Linked DNA regions of Oryza sativa Japonica Group. The protein of the gene in region 2 binds, or shares a complex with, the protein of the main gene of each other region. Links are inferred from orthologs where the notes say so. Each region holds a gene or a part of one and is shown on either strand. Other genes may lie near its edges. The genes, in order: mitotic spindle checkpoint protein BUBR1, mitotic checkpoint serine/threonine-protein kinase BUB1, mitotic spindle checkpoint protein MAD2 and mitotic spindle checkpoint protein MAD1.

Region 1 (4,201 bases), on a different chromosome or scaffold from region 2:
AGAACCTCTGGAAACATAATATAAGCTGAACTATTCTTACTGCTTGAGGTTTCTGCTTGTTGCTTGCCTAAGCTTCAGAATAGATGGTTTTGTACTCTTTGGCACTTGGGGAACTGGTTCCCTGAAATAATCAAAGGAAGGTATATAAAAATTATACGTTTTTACAGTTACTCTTTTTAAAGAACTATTCAAAACTGTTAACTTAAGGGCACAGTAGCATACTCGGCGCATTCGTCATCTACGAAGACTTCAATGGAGCTTACACGAGTCGGCTGAACTGCTGCCCTCGATCCAACCTTCTGAGGAATCTGTTGTTCAGTGCAATACTATCATCAGTTCATTGATCATTACTGAACCGATAAACCTCGAGACATGTCGCAAAAAGGGACCTTTTGAAGAATTCTAGTGGCTTAGGGGAGAAAAAAAAAACCTTGTGTGATGTCCATTTAGCAGGCCTCATGTTATTTTCTTTGTTCCGATCTGCTTGTGATCCAAGGGTCTGCCAGGCCGTGTTGTTGCTCCTGGTTCTAGCAAGGCCATGACTAGGTAACGAATTCTCATCTGTGTAAACTGCAAGTGGCCTATTGACATCAACTCTGCAAATTTGCAACAGTATCAACACCAGTAAAAAAATTCCAGGTTCATCTAGATTTCTTTATACTGATTGCATGCGTATAACAAGTAATAACCTTTGCAGAGTTTTCACCAGGTGAGAGTTTTCTGCATGCTGGCCTCCTGCCACATCAAAATGCAACATTAGTTCACCCAGCCAGGCACTTGAAATTGATGTTAATCATACCATCACAGCAAACTTACTGATTTCACCACGGTTCAAGACAGTCCCAAAGTTGCGTACTGGATGATCATCAGTAGTTGTGTCATCCTGTTTCAACAGATAATAGAATTCATTCAGTGGGCAGTGGAATATAGATTAAAAATAGGGTACTAAATCAGCCTATGTACACCTCAGGATGTGCCTTCTTTTTGGATGATCTCTGAAGAAATGCCCTGTATGTAGTTTCCAACTTCTCCACAGGCTTTGCTTTCCTGACCAAAAAAAAAAAAGCCAAAGAATTTTACGGTTTAATATGCACCATTCCATCAAACAAAATTCATAAATAGTATGCTTTAGGTATTAAGGTGTAGGTAGAGCAGAAAATTGAGAAATTATATCATATCCCTCCAACAAAAAATAGAGAAGTCAGGAATACATGTTTTAATCTAGAACAGTTCATAAGCTTACTCCACAATCAGTTTAATGCATTTTAGTTATAATACATAGAGCTAAAATGGTGAGTGGGAATATGGAAGACTATACACCTTGCAGTCAAACAAATGCATAAATCGTATGCTTTAGGTATTAAGGTATAGGTAGAGTGGCAAGAAAAGTCATATCCCTCCAAAAACAAATAGAGAAGGTAAAAGTTTTCAGCTACAACGGTTCATAAGCTTACTCCAAATTAGTTTAATGCATTTTAGTTACTATAATTCATAGAACTAAAACAGTAAATGGGGATATGTAAGACTATATGTTTGTTGACTAAAAATCCGAAGAAAACAGACTTCAAATCTAGAACAGGAATTCTTTGTCAAAGGCTATATGGAAATTTAGAAGGAACTTATCTATTATCACTAAAAAATAATCTACTAGCAGACTAGCACTGAAGAAAATCCGCAACCTTTCTCATATCTGAAGAAACTAAACTACCAATCCCCCATAAAATTCTCACCTGGCAATACCAAGGTTAAAAATCTCATTAGCTTTCTTTAGCTTGTTCTTGGACTCCATTACCGACGCATAGGACAAGTAGTAATTGGTATGGCTCTGACCAATCTGGTTGGCCTCCAGGAACCTGAATATCACCTCGGAATCAGCACAATTCCCCGCCTGCATACAGATTAAGATCAAGCCAAACTGGATGTCAAAAGGAAACCAAACCAATCCAATCCAATCCAACCAATCCACCTCAGAACCAATCCTGAATTCATGAAACTCACATATTCCAGCCACACTTTGAGGTAGCGGAGATCGTTCTTGTAGCGGTCGTCGTGCCAGAAGGCACGCACGCACTGCTCGTAGATCACCACCAACCCGGAGCAATCCCCGCCTGTCGGAAACGACTCCTGAACCCATTTGATGCAGCTGCGTGTGGATTAAGCAGACAAAGGCATGCCATGAGCAGCAAGCTTGCGGAAACCGCAGAGAAATCGCCGACATGGCAAATCTTTCGGCTCAACCTACTACTACTAGTATACGAATCAATGAAACAAAGGGGAAATTGCTTACTCTATCCATGGTTGGAGCGGATCCTCGCCGCTGTATTCGTCGATTGCCTCGATCATTTTCCTGAATCAGTAGATCAATCAAACGTAGGACGAAAAAAAAAAGATTACCAGAGACCCGCCCCCAAATCAAGAAATCCAGAGCAAACCAAACCCAAGAACCGAGAGACGCGGGTGACGGGAGCGGCGGCGGTACCTCCGGGCGGCGAGGAGGGCGGCGCGCTGGGCGGGGTCGGCGTGCGCCTTGAGGGCGCGGTTGAGGAGGCCCACGTTGCGGCCGCGCTTCAGCGGCCGCACGTTCTCCTTGAACGTCTCCCACTCCGCGCACGGCGCAGCCGGCGGGGCGTCGCCGCACCCCATCAGCATCAGAGTCTCCTTGTCGAGCGCCACCACCGCCTCTTCCGCCGCCGCCGCCGCCGTCGTCGCCATCGCCGCCGCCATGTGTTCGTCCGGGCGCCGCTCCGGAGCCGACCGTTTGGGAGGAGAGATATTCAAATTGGAAGAGATTTTTGACCGTTGAGCTGAGGCGGATGCTGCTGCTGCTCGGGTTTATATAAGGTGAAAAAGAATTGGGCTTTTCATGAGTTGGGCTTGGAAAGTTTATGTGGGCCTAAAATTGTTGGATCTTGATTGCGTCAGCACTCACACGGCAGAGTCACTATGAAGAAATTCAGTCTCAGCCCTGTTCAGCTTGTCAGCTAATTAGCCGATAAATTCATAGATTAATTCAATATACTGTAGATTATGAAGTTAATTAATTATTTGGTTAGAAAAGGTTATCGAAACAATGCTATTGTAGAAAGATTTTTGAGAAATCATACTGTTAAAATTGTGGCCCGTCAATTCGCCGTGATGAATGAGTTTTGTTTTTTTTATGTTAATGCTGGAGTATATGTGTTTGTGCAAACATTACGCAGAAGTTTGTGATGATCAGTTGATCTTCACATGAACAGATTTAGTTTCTTAAATCACATGAAACACAAATTGTTCAGCTTTTTTCCCCAAGACCAGTTGCGTAGTTCTTAAAAGCATAACTCAAACTTGAGGCAAAGGCGCAAAGCTTCATGCTTGCTGAACTTTCTGTTTTGCCACGATTAAATTTCAGTTAAACTGATAGCACTCTTTCATATTGCACAAAAAGAACTCCAAACAAGTGCTCTAAATGTTCAAACTTCCATAATAAACGATATAATATGTCTTTGCTCTTCCATTACAATTGGTTACATATCTAGCAGGAAGCAGTAACAGGTAACTTAATTGGACTATGAACAGGCAACGAACACGCATAGAATCTCACAGCCTTCTCGGTGGCTGCATCTGTGAAGGATCCACAAGGCCTTCCAACACAACAAGCTGATCCAGCAGCGCAAACTTTTCATCCTCGAGAACGCTGGCTTCCTCTTCAGCCTGGCTCAATTGCTTGTCCAGCTCACCGTTCTCATCCTCCAGCAGCAGGTACTTCTTCCGTAACGCTCTGTATTCATCAGCTGGACCGAACTCTGGCACCGAATCGGGGGTTCCCCAATCAGATTGCGGAGCCGAATGGCGAGGTTCATTCTTGAAGGTTATCTTAGGGGCTTTCTTGGTCTTGCCGGATGTGAGTGGAACCTCCCTCCGCAGCAGCTCAGGTTCAGCTTTTATTTGGCTGGGAGGCAAGGGGCGGGAAACGACCTTTCTCTTGTGCGTCTTCGGGGTTGCGAATTCATCTCGTGGCATACCTCTTGGGTCTTGCATTCCCTCCGGTCACTCCTCCCTGAACAATGCAACTCAAGTGAGAAATTTTACTAAAGCATAATCATAAACATATAATTCATTCTCAAAACAATATAGCAGGCAATTCAATAGGATAGATCAGCACTTAGCACTATGTGGAATACTACTACTTAAGGTGCTCCTCAAGCAAATCTAATTATCAGAG
Region 2 (4,089 bases):
GATATGGATCCAATTAACCCATTTTAGGACGGAGGGAGTAGGTGTGTATTAATAGTGTTTAACTGCTCTTGCTGCAAGATAGTCCTTTATTTTTCCATTAATTTGCTTCTTGCCATCATGATTAAAAAAACTCACAAACTATTTAGTTTCTTTTAGTTTAAAATGAGATAGACAACATAATTTAGTAACAAGTACATACTTTATAATCATATAACATCTGAAAAAAAAATCTAGCAATGCCTTTTTTTTTTGCCTTTTAAGATCAAGTCTTGTTTTTACCAAGTTGAAGCTAATATTTTTTTTTCAACGAGGATGCACGAGATATGTTTTCTATTTTGAATAATCCGTTACAACATATAAATATTTGGCTAGTACATTATACGATAAGAAAGATACTTAAATTGTGTTCTTTCCTTCCCTTTCCCAACTTCTACCACTCGTTTTTCGCACATATGCTTCCCAAACCGATGATTTTTTTTACAAAATTTTTCTATAGAAAAGTTGTTTTAAAAATCATATTAATCTATTTTATAAGTTTTTTAAGCTAATACTTAATTAATCATATGCTAATGTAATCCTCCATGTTACATACCGAAGGATTAGTTACTAACCTACCATACCGAACACAACGTTAGGCTGAGTTTGTTCTGACGGTCACTCAACACATGACTAATTAAGTATATTAAAATTTTTAAAAATAAATCAATATAATTTTCCAAGTAATTTTTCTATAATTATTTTCACAAATAATATATCGTTTAGCAGTTAAAAACCTGTGTGTGAAAAAAAGAATAATTAAAAGTTGAGAGAGGGGAGAAACGAACACAATGTGTGTTTAGTTCGTGCCAAAATTAGAAGTTTGGTTGAAACTGGAACGATGTGATAGAAAAGTTGAAAATTTGTGTATGTATGAAAATTTTGATGTGATGAAAAAGTTGAAAGTTTGAAGAAAAATTTTAGAAATAAACTCGGCCTTACATTTGGGGCCATAAAATTGCATGTTTATCCATCCTCCACAACTCTTCTCTCTCTCACCGATCTGATTGTGCTGTGCGCTTGTTCAGCTGTGCTGCTCGGTTTTTGCTCGCTATGTGCACGAAAAAAAATCCCAAAAATTATATTGGTCCATTTTATATCTTCAACCAGTTGTAAACACTAAACAGCTGTAGTAATAAGTGGGCTTAAACCTCAAAAATGGCTACACAAGCCCAAGCGATCCGCATCCCAAACCATTCGAAATTCAAATTATTCCCCTCTTCCGCTCCATCTCCTTCCCGTCTTTCTCTCTCCACACAGACAGCGCACGCATCCACCACCCCCCAACACGGGAGCGGAGAGCTCGCCGCCGGCGATCGCCGCAGGATTCTGAGGGCTTCTTCCGGCGGCCACGGGAGATGGTTCTGCTCGAACGCACGCCGTTGGTGGTGCCCGAGGCAGCAGCAGCAGCCGCCGCCGCCTCCAGCCCGCTCCGGAGGCCGTCGCCTAGGGTTCTGAGGGAGGTGCCCCCGCCCCCCCTCGATCCCATCCTCCCCTACCTCAGGTAATGGCTAGATCAGTATCCATATCAGCACCTGTTCCCTTCGATTTAGGTCCTATTTGGGGGCGTGGGATTCCGCCGTAGCGCTGCGTGGAATAATGCTTGGTTTCGCCTCAAGTTGTGTGGCGTACGCATCGTACTGGGATTCTGTCCCTTCCTCTGAGTTATGTAGTTAATTGGGCGTGTGATTTAGATTTTGACACTTCGCCTCTGCGATTCCTGTTCAATTGCTCAGTGGCAGTGTGCAGTTGAACTTGGACGAACGGAAATGTGAGAAATGGGGGCGTGTGTGTTCCGAAAAAAAAAAAAGAAAAGCAAAGGGTATGACCACCACTGTTTGAGTGTCTGGCAACGACAGAAGTGCATTTTGCCGAGACATTGTGACTGGTCACTCGTAATGTCCAGTGTTGGGACTTGGGAAGGATTTAGTTTTGGAGCTGATTTGTTTTGTGCAGCTAGGTTGATTTTTCTTGTGAAGGATTAGCTTGTTCATGTGGAGACGGTTCTCTTATTCCTTTATCAGTTCTTGAACTGTCAAGTAATGTAATGTGCCCACTTTCTGTGCTCCTTCTGTACTAATGTGCTGCTTTCTGATAGGTCCTTTTGGTAAAAACTTTGCATATATAACTTATTTTTATGTTCCTGGTACTATTATATCTATTTTATAAGGTAAATCTAATCTTTCATGCACATGCTGGTATTCATGCATAATTTATCTATGTATCACTGCGGTTTGTTTGTCCTGGTCAGGGCCCCAGTCCTGGTGTATGCATTCGTTTATGTTAGTTTCTGACTTGGTATTCAGGTCTATCAACAAGGCTATGGATGAGCTCAGGACAGGCCCAAAATTTGAAGCAGCAGCGCTTGATCGGCTCAAGATTTGTGTAATGGAATGCATTGATAAGTATGGTGACGATTACCAGTACTCCACAGACCCCCGACTCCTCAAGATCTGGATCCTCTATGTAATTGTTTGGCTTTGAAGTTTCAATTCTTACCTTATCCATTTTCTATCCTTTTGCTCATTTCCCCCCCACTTTGTTCTATGTTAGGCGGATGCAATAGGTGATTTTGATAAGGCATATAAGCAGTTGGAGGAGAAAAGAATGTTTTTAGAGCATGCACTGCTCTATGATGCATATGCACTGTTTCTCTTCAGTAAGGGGAAAGTGCTGGAGGCTGGTAAGGTGTATGAAGTTGGTATTTCCAGGTTAGTATGACACTGAATTATGTTTTTGTTGAAGTGAACTTTTTGGGCAGCAACAATCTGATGTCAAATTTGTCATGTTGATGTGATCGCAAATCATTTCCGTGGACCAGAAAAGCCGAGCCACTTGATCATTTGAAGAAGATGCATACGATATTTTTAAAACACTTGGAGAAGATTGTAGAAGAAGCAGATGCCGATGCCCAGGTATGATAACTGTGTGGTGGAATGGACATTAGTTGAGTCCTTGAATATTTGTCAAATGATTCACATATTTCATATTCAATTGCATTTTTAGTAATCAGGACATTGTGGCTGTGTTGTAGATTTGTTAGTATTTTAGCTATGGTCAGTTGGTCACAAGGCTGACAAACTTGCAGCAGTAAGAACTAAGAACTGCTTTGATATTGTTTCTTACATGATATTTCTCTGTGGTGGAACATTTGTTTTTCCAAAAAAGGTTGGCAAGCAATAGGATAATTGTCTTCACATTTCTGTGCATGTGAACTGTGATACATTCTACATAATTTATTCATTTATTTGCATGTTTGCATGTTGTGAACTTAATATTTATTTGGGGCTAATCACAATGATATCTACTTTGTACTTGCCGATCTTTACTAGCTCGAACATCTATAACATCTATTTCAACTAAATACATGACGGTTTATTTTACATTTTCATGGAAAGAGTTTCTGTTCTGTCATTCCTGCAACTCTATTTATACAAAAATAGCATGATTCTAGTTATTTAGAGTGGCTTTTTTTATTATATGTTTAGGGATATATTTTATTTAGTTTAATCATAGTTGGGAATGAATTTCAGGTTGTACTTTCCACTGATTCTTGTGGTGTATGTGTTCTATTATGAGTTTGTCTCGGAAATATATTATTTATGCTATGTGGTACATTGATAGAATCGGGAGTGCATTTGCACAGCTTTACCATAGTGAAGTCAGAACATAAATATAGGGCACTATCAGCATAACAGTGCCATACCAAACAATCTTCTTATACGGTTCAATTCATAAATAAATAGAGAAAATCGAGCAAATTGCAAAAGCAAAGAATAAAATGAAATATCGGGCTGAAGCCACATGATGTGCCATTGAAAGCTACATCCCTGCCCCTGCTTGAGTGGACTAATCATTACTAGATAAAGAAACATGAGACATGCAATTTCTATATGTTTTCGAAGAACAATATCTATATAACCCTGTTAAGCTTGTGAAGTAACTTATGCAAAAACCTTTTTTTGTTTCTTTTACTTGTCATTACTGGCCATTATTGTAGCCAGCATATATTATAGTCGCCTAATGCTATTCTTCTTTGTGGATGATTCACCA
Region 3 (3,749 bases), on a different chromosome or scaffold from region 2:
TGGGGTTCCTCTGGTTTATATGTAAATGTAAATGTAGCTCTGTAGCATCTTGGTGTTAGTTAGTTTCCAATGTGTTTGTTACCCATGCTGATACTGGGTTTTACATTTGTCACAAATAGTCTTGGAAGCTGGAAACAAATACATTCATCAGAAGTGTAATTTGTCCGGACAACGAAGGTTGTCTGGCAAAATGTAAGATTTCTGATGGATTGTTGCAAACAGCCTTGGAAGTTCCGAAGCTGGAATAAATTCATTCAGCAGAAGTGCATTTTGTCTTGAGATTGAAGATGGTACAAAATTACTTCTAATTTAATATGCAAGTTTTGACAAGAAAAACGGTGGTCGATATAACATAAACTTTGAGGATACGGCTGTCTTGAGATTGAAGATGGTACAGAATTACTTTTAATTTAAGTGCATTTTGTTATTCACAGAGCATATGACTTCAAAACACCTTGAATCTTTTGAGATTCTGAAGTGAGAAACAACACATATAATTGAACAACACAGTGAAGAAATCGTGGCACACGATCACGATGCATTCAACTCCAGTGGTACTTTCAACCCAGGATTTCAAAGGCTGAGGAAAAAAAAATCATGGTGAAGCAGCGATACACAGTCGATTCTCCCAAAATGCGGTAAAGAACAAGAAAAGGGATTCTCCCAGAGCACACGAGTTCCGATAGGGCTAGGGCGTGAATGAACGAACGATTCACACAAGCATCACGCCTAGCAAGCTAAGCTAGCTAAATAAGCTAGCAGCAATAAACTAGCAAGGGGGTCTCCTCCTCATGGCTCCAACCTCCACCGGCGGCTTCTACTCCTCGTCCCACTCGTCGACCTTGTAGGAGACGAGCGTGTCCACCTTGTGAATCTGCCATGGCAAGAACACGGCGCTGTAACGTCAGCAATCTGGGAGAGGCAGCGAAAAAAAAGAAACGGAGTCGATTCAGTGATATTCACCTTGGTGTCGAAGGAATGCAGCTTCACCATCTGTGGATTCTCGATGAGCTTGGCGTCGCTCTCCACCCAGGTGAAGGGCACCGCGACGTCCATGTCGGTGTACGCCAGCACGTCGAATATGCCTGCAAAATCAATCAATCAATCAATCAATCAATCGACGAATGCGGATGAGCTGGGAGGAATTGGGGGGGAGAGCAGAGGCGATGAACACTGAACACTGAAGAAGTAGAGGTGGTGGTAATGGCGCTTACATGGCTCGTCGAGGCAGGGGAGGTAGGTGATGCAGGAGGCGACCTGGCGCATGATGGCCTGGATCTCCCTCATGATCTCCTTGTCGCTCTTCTCCTTGATGACACCCTTGTCGACCACCTCCGGGTCGGTCTGGATGCTGAAGTTCCACCGCTCCAGCACCTCGGAGGTGGCCTTGCTCATGATCACCAGCACGATCCTCTGCAGCTTCCCGGCCTCCAGCCACTCTGCGCGCGGCAACGCAGGAAACACAGGCAAGATCAATCAGCAGCAGCAAAAGAAAAAGAAAAAAGAAACCAAATGGAGACAGGCAGGCTAGTGATCCGGTGAGTGAGGCCAGACGACCTGAGAGCTGGGTGTTGAGGTTGGCGATGAAGGTCTTCACCCCTTCGTCCTGCGTCAGCAGCATCGTGAGGCCGTACTTCTTCACCTTGGTGAAGCTCTCCTCCGGGTACACCCCGCGGTTGTACAGGATGCTGCGCCACGCACAAACCAAGAACACAAAACACCCCGGATCAGAAATTAACCCTGAATCTGCAGCAACCGTTTTTTATATTTTTTTTCTTTCAAAGGAAACCAGCATCAGCGCAGCGGCGGCCGTCGATCCTGGCACCCGCAACCGCGCGAAGCGCGCACCTGTTCGCGGCGTAGCCTGCCACACGAGAAAAGGCATTCGATCAAACACCTATCGGGCGCGCGCACGCGTGAGAGGAGCCGAGGGCGAAAAAAAATAAAAGAAACGGAAGCGGAGATCGGCTTCTACCGAAGAACTCGCTGACGATGGCGGCGGAGCCCCGCAGCGTGATGATGTCCTTGGACGCCGTCCTCGACGCCATCTCCTGATCCGCCTCACCTTCTTAACTCCTCCTCTTGCCTCCCGTGCGGCGGCGGCGGCGGCGGCGGATGGGGGGAGAGGAAAGAGGAAAGGGGGGGAAAAGCCGGGCAAAGGCAACGGCTAGTGTGGAGCGGATCGGCTGCGGGCTGCGGCGCTTGGGAACTTGGGAGCGTTGTTTGTCGATGGGTCGTGTTGGGTCAGGTGCGGGGGAGAGAAGGTGTCGGCGTGCGGGTGGGTTTCGGGAGTTTTTAAAGGTGGGCCGGACCTGCGCTCCCAACGGTCGTGTGGGCGGTGGGCCAGTGGGCTTCGGTTGGCGCGATTCGCCCAAGCCGCGCGCTCTCTTCGAGTCCTTTACCTCTTGTTGATGATGAATTGTACTGGTACCAGTAGACTACTAGTAGAACCGTAGAAACACCATTTTCTTGGAGAAAATGCTCCTGGGTGGCTGGGTTTTTGAACTTGTTCGGACGGTTGGCCTTTAGGGCAGTCCCAACCCATAACACTAGACATAGTTTTCATAAACTCTACATCATCAAGAAATTAGTACTAGACACTACTCTTTCAATATAAACACCACTATTCCATACTTCAATTTAATGCAATTTATCTTACATGATATTTTGTGTAGAAACCATATCTCATGCAAGACATGGTTTCCTTCTCTTTCCTCATTTATTTACTTGCCACATCATTTTTTATCCTAGGTGGCAACTTATATAATGTTATGGACATCATCCTAGACATTGGGTTGGGAATACCCTTAGAAACGGAGGGAAGGTATTTGCCCTTTGCCGCCAACAACCCCTATTTGCCCTCATATTCGTCCGTTTAGCACAGTTATAACTTACCAAACAATTTTGGTTTCACCAAAAAAAATAGAGTAAAGCTGGTTAGAGTGTTCTCGCAAAATGAGCGTCTTACCAAACGAGACATCTGTTTCTTACTGTTTTTCTGGGCTTATTCGGCCGAATTGTAAATCGAAAAGTTTATTCTTCACCAGACTAAAAAAATACGCTTATTCATTATATTATCAGAGCATATCATTTGATTCACGGTTTGGAAAATTATGTTTTGAAAATACAAAAACTTATACTGTAGTCCTTCCATCACGGCACAACAACTTTTTTCCATGTCTTGTAATATAAGGTGTGTGTGCATGCATGCACATTAACTATCACCTCTTAGTCCTTTAAATTTGGTTTGTTTTAAACCATCTACCATCAAGCCCCCAATCACACTGCTTGCCTGTACGGATGTGATCTAACCGATGCGATAATCAAATTATTTCTCGGTCTTTTGCGTTAGAAGTGATTTAGCCTAACACCCATTTTGGCATGTAGGGAGTATTACTTAGACCACTCATTTTAGACATATTTTATCTTAAAATATTAAATTAACCACTATAATCGGTTATATAATGGCGATAATAATATACTCAATAATCTAAATATAGTTTTTAATATATTTGTGAACTATGTGATTCTATACTAAAAACTACCCCTATGCCTTAAAAGCCACTGACTAGCACTGACATTCTGTTTGCCTTTTGTTTGAAAGTTAATTTGGATGTATTTAAAATTCAAGTAGGATTATATTGTTTCGGTAGAGATTATTTTTCAAGAGAAAGTTTCCTTTGATTTTTTTTGGTGCAACCTTTTTTCTTTACAAAGGGAACTTTTCTAATGTTTGTTAGAAGTTTTGG
Region 4 (3,563 bases), on a different chromosome or scaffold from region 2:
TCTGATGTCTAGAAAATGTGTACAGCATTCTCATTAGAAACATCTTGGTTGCTGGTTCCTGAGCACCCCAAGAGATATGCCTTAAATGAAATGTGATGTGTTAAGTAAATGTACACCTATCTAGCCACTGGGATTTATCTATTGCATCCTAACGCAATTCACTAAGACACCAACCAGACTATTCATTTGTGCAGCATACAACCTAGATGCAAAACTAGAGGACATAAATAAATAGTCATATTAGACAAGAATAAATAACGATGTTTCCACACTTTCCTCCTATACACATCTGTAACATTACTTTTTAGTTATTTCATCCATGCATCAGAAAAAAGAAATACAGTCAAATGCAACCAATACGCTGAATACCTGCTGAGCAATTTCATGTTGAGAAGTGTAGTCATTGACCTGTATATACATTAATAACATCAAATAATGCCCTGTTAAATTATAGGAATGATAATTTCAGCAAGGTAATAATCCTACCACAATATTGGTGCTTCCAGATTCGTAGTCAAACTCAAGCTTCTCATCATCACTTTGGGCGTAAACAGAATGCAGAATAAAACGTGTTACAGGGATCCCATTTGACTGTTGCTGATCATTCATCACTATCTAAAACCATAAAATTGAAAAGGTTACGTCAAATAGTATTGACATCAAACATAAAGGCATGAGAAAAAATCAAACGAAATGTTGAAGCTAGAAAATGATGAGCACGGTTATCTGAAATAGGCATGACCAATGCAACAATCGAAGGCAATCAAAATTTTCAAACCAAAAGACAGCATGATTGAGAAGTATCAAACTAACCATGTCCACACTCCACAACACAAATACTGATGTACTCTTTCATCCTTAGCTTCAAACACCAGGATCGAGAGTCAATTTTAATTTGGGTTCAAGAGGTTCACATTGGATGAAATCCCAAAACACTGACTTGGCATACTAATGCATACAGATTCACTATGTAAGATTCGCAAGATGCTAACATGAATCCCTCATCTCTAAAAAAAAAGAGGTGGAGAATGCACAAATAGCAGTAATAGATAGATAGGGTTGATCCACTGTGTAATATGGGTTGTGTCATATTAATAATACCTTATAACCAAAGAGCGAGCAGCAAGCCTTTCGGAAAACTGAGATCCTCTCTGCAAATACTGCCTTATATCTGTTTCAAACAAACTGTAAGGTCATTTTCTAACAAATCAGTATGAACAGAAGCTTATAACATACAGATAACAAAGTGGGTACCTTTCTTCACGTTTCTCTAGGGTTGCAATTTGATTTTTAAGCTGTGCTAGCTTTTCAGCAATATTCACATCAACCACAGTTCCAACATCTGCAGTAAAATAAATATTCTATTTAAAGTTTGATGAAGCGTTGAAGATCTGAGGATTCTCACATCTTGCTAGACTATGGAGCAATGACTAGAAAAAAAAGAGTTATCAGATATTGTTGAATAATTAAAAAAACTGAGTAGGTGACAACTGATTAATGAATGCTACAGCCTACAATCCTTTAGGTAGTAACTCTATCACACGGTTCCAACAAAAAATGTGGACACTGTCACAAGGACGAAAAGATGAATAAAACCACTCACCAGCTTGTCCTTTTAGTTCTTCAACTGCTTGTAGCCTCTCTTTCGTTTTCTTCAATTCAGCTTGCAATGCCTCTATAGTCTGCTTTGCTTCATTGTCCACTGCAAGAGTATTTACCATACGCAGTACTTTTGTGCTAGAGGCAGAGTAATCTCCATGGCCCAGCTGTCAAACATAACAAGAACATTCAAGGTACAAACATGGTTTTAATCAACAGCTAAGTTAGTATTGTTTACAGTGGCATTTCTGACAACTGTGAAAAACAACTCTATTGAAAAAAGAAGATTCATTCACTTGAGACTCCAACAATATATCACTGCACCAGCAGCAAACGGTAACTCTCAACATACAACAAACACAACAGAAATTAAGCACAAAAACATTCAGCCAAGCTTCATTTGAAGCTGAAAAAAAATAATGGTCCCAATCATGCTTTCTCACAGAAGCAGGAGAAGCATCCCTGTCCAGTACCTCACAGCCTCACACCAGCTCATGAGAGAAGATAGATAGACATGCTACCTTACTAAAAGGAATAAAGCTTCATTTCTCAGTACACTCTATAAATGGAGCCAAATTCTTGATAGTTTGCTTACAAATAAACAAATAAATAAAGGTTGCCCGGACTGGAACAATTAATCCAAACTTATGATGTTCCAGACAGATATAAGCAATATGAAGAAAATGGGACCATGATAAACATGAGATGTAAGGGTGCCTTTTCGAAATGAAACTACTCTAAACAACAGAATGAGCATATGTAGATACCATTTCAATAGTTCATCTTAACCCTTACCTTTGACTCAAGTAAAGCCACCTGTGAGCGTAGTTGATCTCCATCTCGCTCCAATGATTTTGCTTTTCTTGATTCAATGCTCAATTTTTCATTCATCAAATTGAGCTCAGTGTGCTGTTGACTAATTAGTTCTCTCTGGTCACGTATAGTGCTCTCCAGTTCTGTTACTACCTTTTCCATTCGAGATAGATCCGATTCCATATTCTGGATTGTCACCTCACAAGAAATATTGTGCATTCCATTAAGAATGATAAAGGCACAAAACTGTCAATTTTATTAAAAAAATCACAAACCTTGGATGATGCATCATCTCCATCCCTAGATTTCGACACAGCATGGTCCTTTCTTAATCTATCCCTTTCTTCACTGATGGCAGCAAGCTGTTCAGAAAACAAACAGCAAATGGAATGACAGCATGAAATCATGGGGTATGAAAGAACAAGTTATCAATGTAATTACAGAATGTACAGAGGAAGAGTTATCGTTGCATGAACAGATTATGAACTTGCTATGGTGCCACAAGTGGATCTACAGAATTGCATTGCACTGAGGGGGGGAGTAGAAACTAGCATCACAGTAGTAATTATAAAAATAGCAATAAACAACAGTACCAGAAGTTCAAGCCGCTTGATCTCCCTAGTAGCACTTTCAGCCCTCTCTTTGGCAAGGGTTGCTTCACCTTCTGCCCGTTGCTTGCTAAGATCAGCAAATTCCAATGCAACCTTTAATTCTTTCAACTGTGATGTTACCTCACCAACTTTATTTAAATTTGTCAATGCTTGCCTGTTAAAAATCAAAATAACCATATAAACCTTACATAAAGAAAGAAAGAAGCACAGATAATTGATAGCGCTCGCCTATAGCAGACAAATGAAATTGAAATTGTAACAATGGACACGCACTTCTGCAAATCTGCGATCTTTTGAGGTATATCACCAAAAGAAGATACATCAGGTATGTTGCTGAGCAATGCTGTGCATGATGCTAATTCAAGCTCCAACTTCTGTGCTTTAGCTTCAATTTCCTGCAGCTTAGATAATTCCATTTCTGCTCTCTCCCTGCACCCCTGTTCCTCCAATATTTTTTCTTTAAGTAACTCAACATTTGTGTGGGAAGACTTCAACCTTCTAGCTTCATCAACTTCTTTTTCCTAAATGCACAGAACCATA

Evidence for each region.
Region 1: mitotic checkpoint serine/threonine-protein kinase BUB1 (region 2) and mitotic spindle checkpoint protein BUBR1 share a complex: the UniProt entries of both Arabidopsis thaliana proteins name them as parts of the mitotic checkpoint complex. The link is inferred for Oryza sativa Japonica Group from reciprocal best matches to the Arabidopsis thaliana genes AT2G20635 and BUBR1.
Region 3: mitotic checkpoint serine/threonine-protein kinase BUB1 (region 2) and mitotic spindle checkpoint protein MAD2 share a complex: the UniProt entries of both Arabidopsis thaliana proteins name them as parts of the mitotic checkpoint complex. The link is inferred for Oryza sativa Japonica Group from reciprocal best matches to the Arabidopsis thaliana genes AT2G20635 and MAD2.
Region 4: mitotic checkpoint serine/threonine-protein kinase BUB1 (region 2) and mitotic spindle checkpoint protein MAD1 share a complex: the UniProt entries of both Arabidopsis thaliana proteins name them as parts of the mitotic checkpoint complex. The link is inferred for Oryza sativa Japonica Group from reciprocal best matches to the Arabidopsis thaliana genes AT2G20635 and MAD1.

Annotation. Positions count from the first base shown.
Region 1 is NC_089036.1:5,218,466-5,222,666, reverse strand, and holds the start of mitotic spindle checkpoint protein BUBR1, read right to left. Parts: upstream 2,807-4,201; 5' UTR 2,725-2,806; coding exon 2,480-2,724; intron 2,348-2,479; coding exon 2,288-2,347; intron 2,144-2,287; coding exon 1,999-2,143; intron 1,889-1,998; coding exon 1,731-1,888; intron 1,048-1,730; coding exon 966-1,047; intron 884-965; coding exon 817-883; intron 736-816; coding exon 690-735; intron 597-689; coding exon 431-596; intron 309-430; coding exon 223-308; intron 122-222; coding exon 41-121; intron 1-40. Other genes in the region: uncharacterized protein, read right to left, coding at 3,577-4,017. UniProt on the Arabidopsis thaliana protein: Essential component of the mitotic checkpoint. Required for normal mitosis progression. The mitotic checkpoint delays anaphase until all chromosomes are properly attached to the mitotic spindle.
Region 2 is NC_089041.1:19,550,961-19,555,049, forward strand, and holds the start of mitotic checkpoint serine/threonine-protein kinase BUB1, read left to right. Parts: upstream 1-1,231; 5' UTR 1,232-1,394; coding exon 1,395-1,540; intron 1,541-2,342; coding exon 2,343-2,502; intron 2,503-2,589; coding exon 2,590-2,747; intron 2,748-2,857; coding exon 2,858-2,951; intron 2,952-4,089. UniProt on the Arabidopsis thaliana protein: Serine/threonine-protein kinase that performs 2 crucial functions during mitosis: it is essential for spindle-assembly checkpoint signaling and for correct chromosome alignment. Has a key role in the assembly of checkpoint proteins at the kinetochore.
Region 3 is NC_089038.1:24,797,656-24,801,404, forward strand, and holds mitotic spindle checkpoint protein MAD2, read right to left. Parts: upstream 2,270-3,749; 5' UTR 2,049-2,269; coding exon 1,976-2,048; intron 1,865-1,975; coding exon 1,849-1,864; intron 1,689-1,848; coding exon 1,558-1,688; intron 1,440-1,557; coding exon 1,215-1,439; intron 1,086-1,214; coding exon 964-1,085; intron 875-963; coding exon 818-874; 3' UTR 511-817; downstream 1-510. UniProt on the Arabidopsis thaliana protein: Required for the execution of the mitotic checkpoint which monitors the process of kinetochore-spindle attachment and delays the onset of anaphase when this process is not complete.
Region 4 is NC_089035.1:38,697,455-38,701,017, reverse strand, and holds part of mitotic spindle checkpoint protein MAD1, read right to left. Parts: intron 3,545-3,563; coding exon 3,297-3,544; intron 3,178-3,296; coding exon 3,006-3,177; intron 2,775-3,005; coding exon 2,688-2,774; intron 2,599-2,687; coding exon 2,395-2,598; intron 1,767-2,394; coding exon 1,604-1,766; intron 1,343-1,603; coding exon 1,255-1,342; intron 1,172-1,254; coding exon 1,102-1,171; intron 616-1,101; coding exon 487-615; intron 409-486; coding exon 370-408; intron 1-369. UniProt on the Arabidopsis thaliana protein: Required for the execution of the mitotic checkpoint which monitors the process of kinetochore-spindle attachment and delays the onset of anaphase when this process is not complete.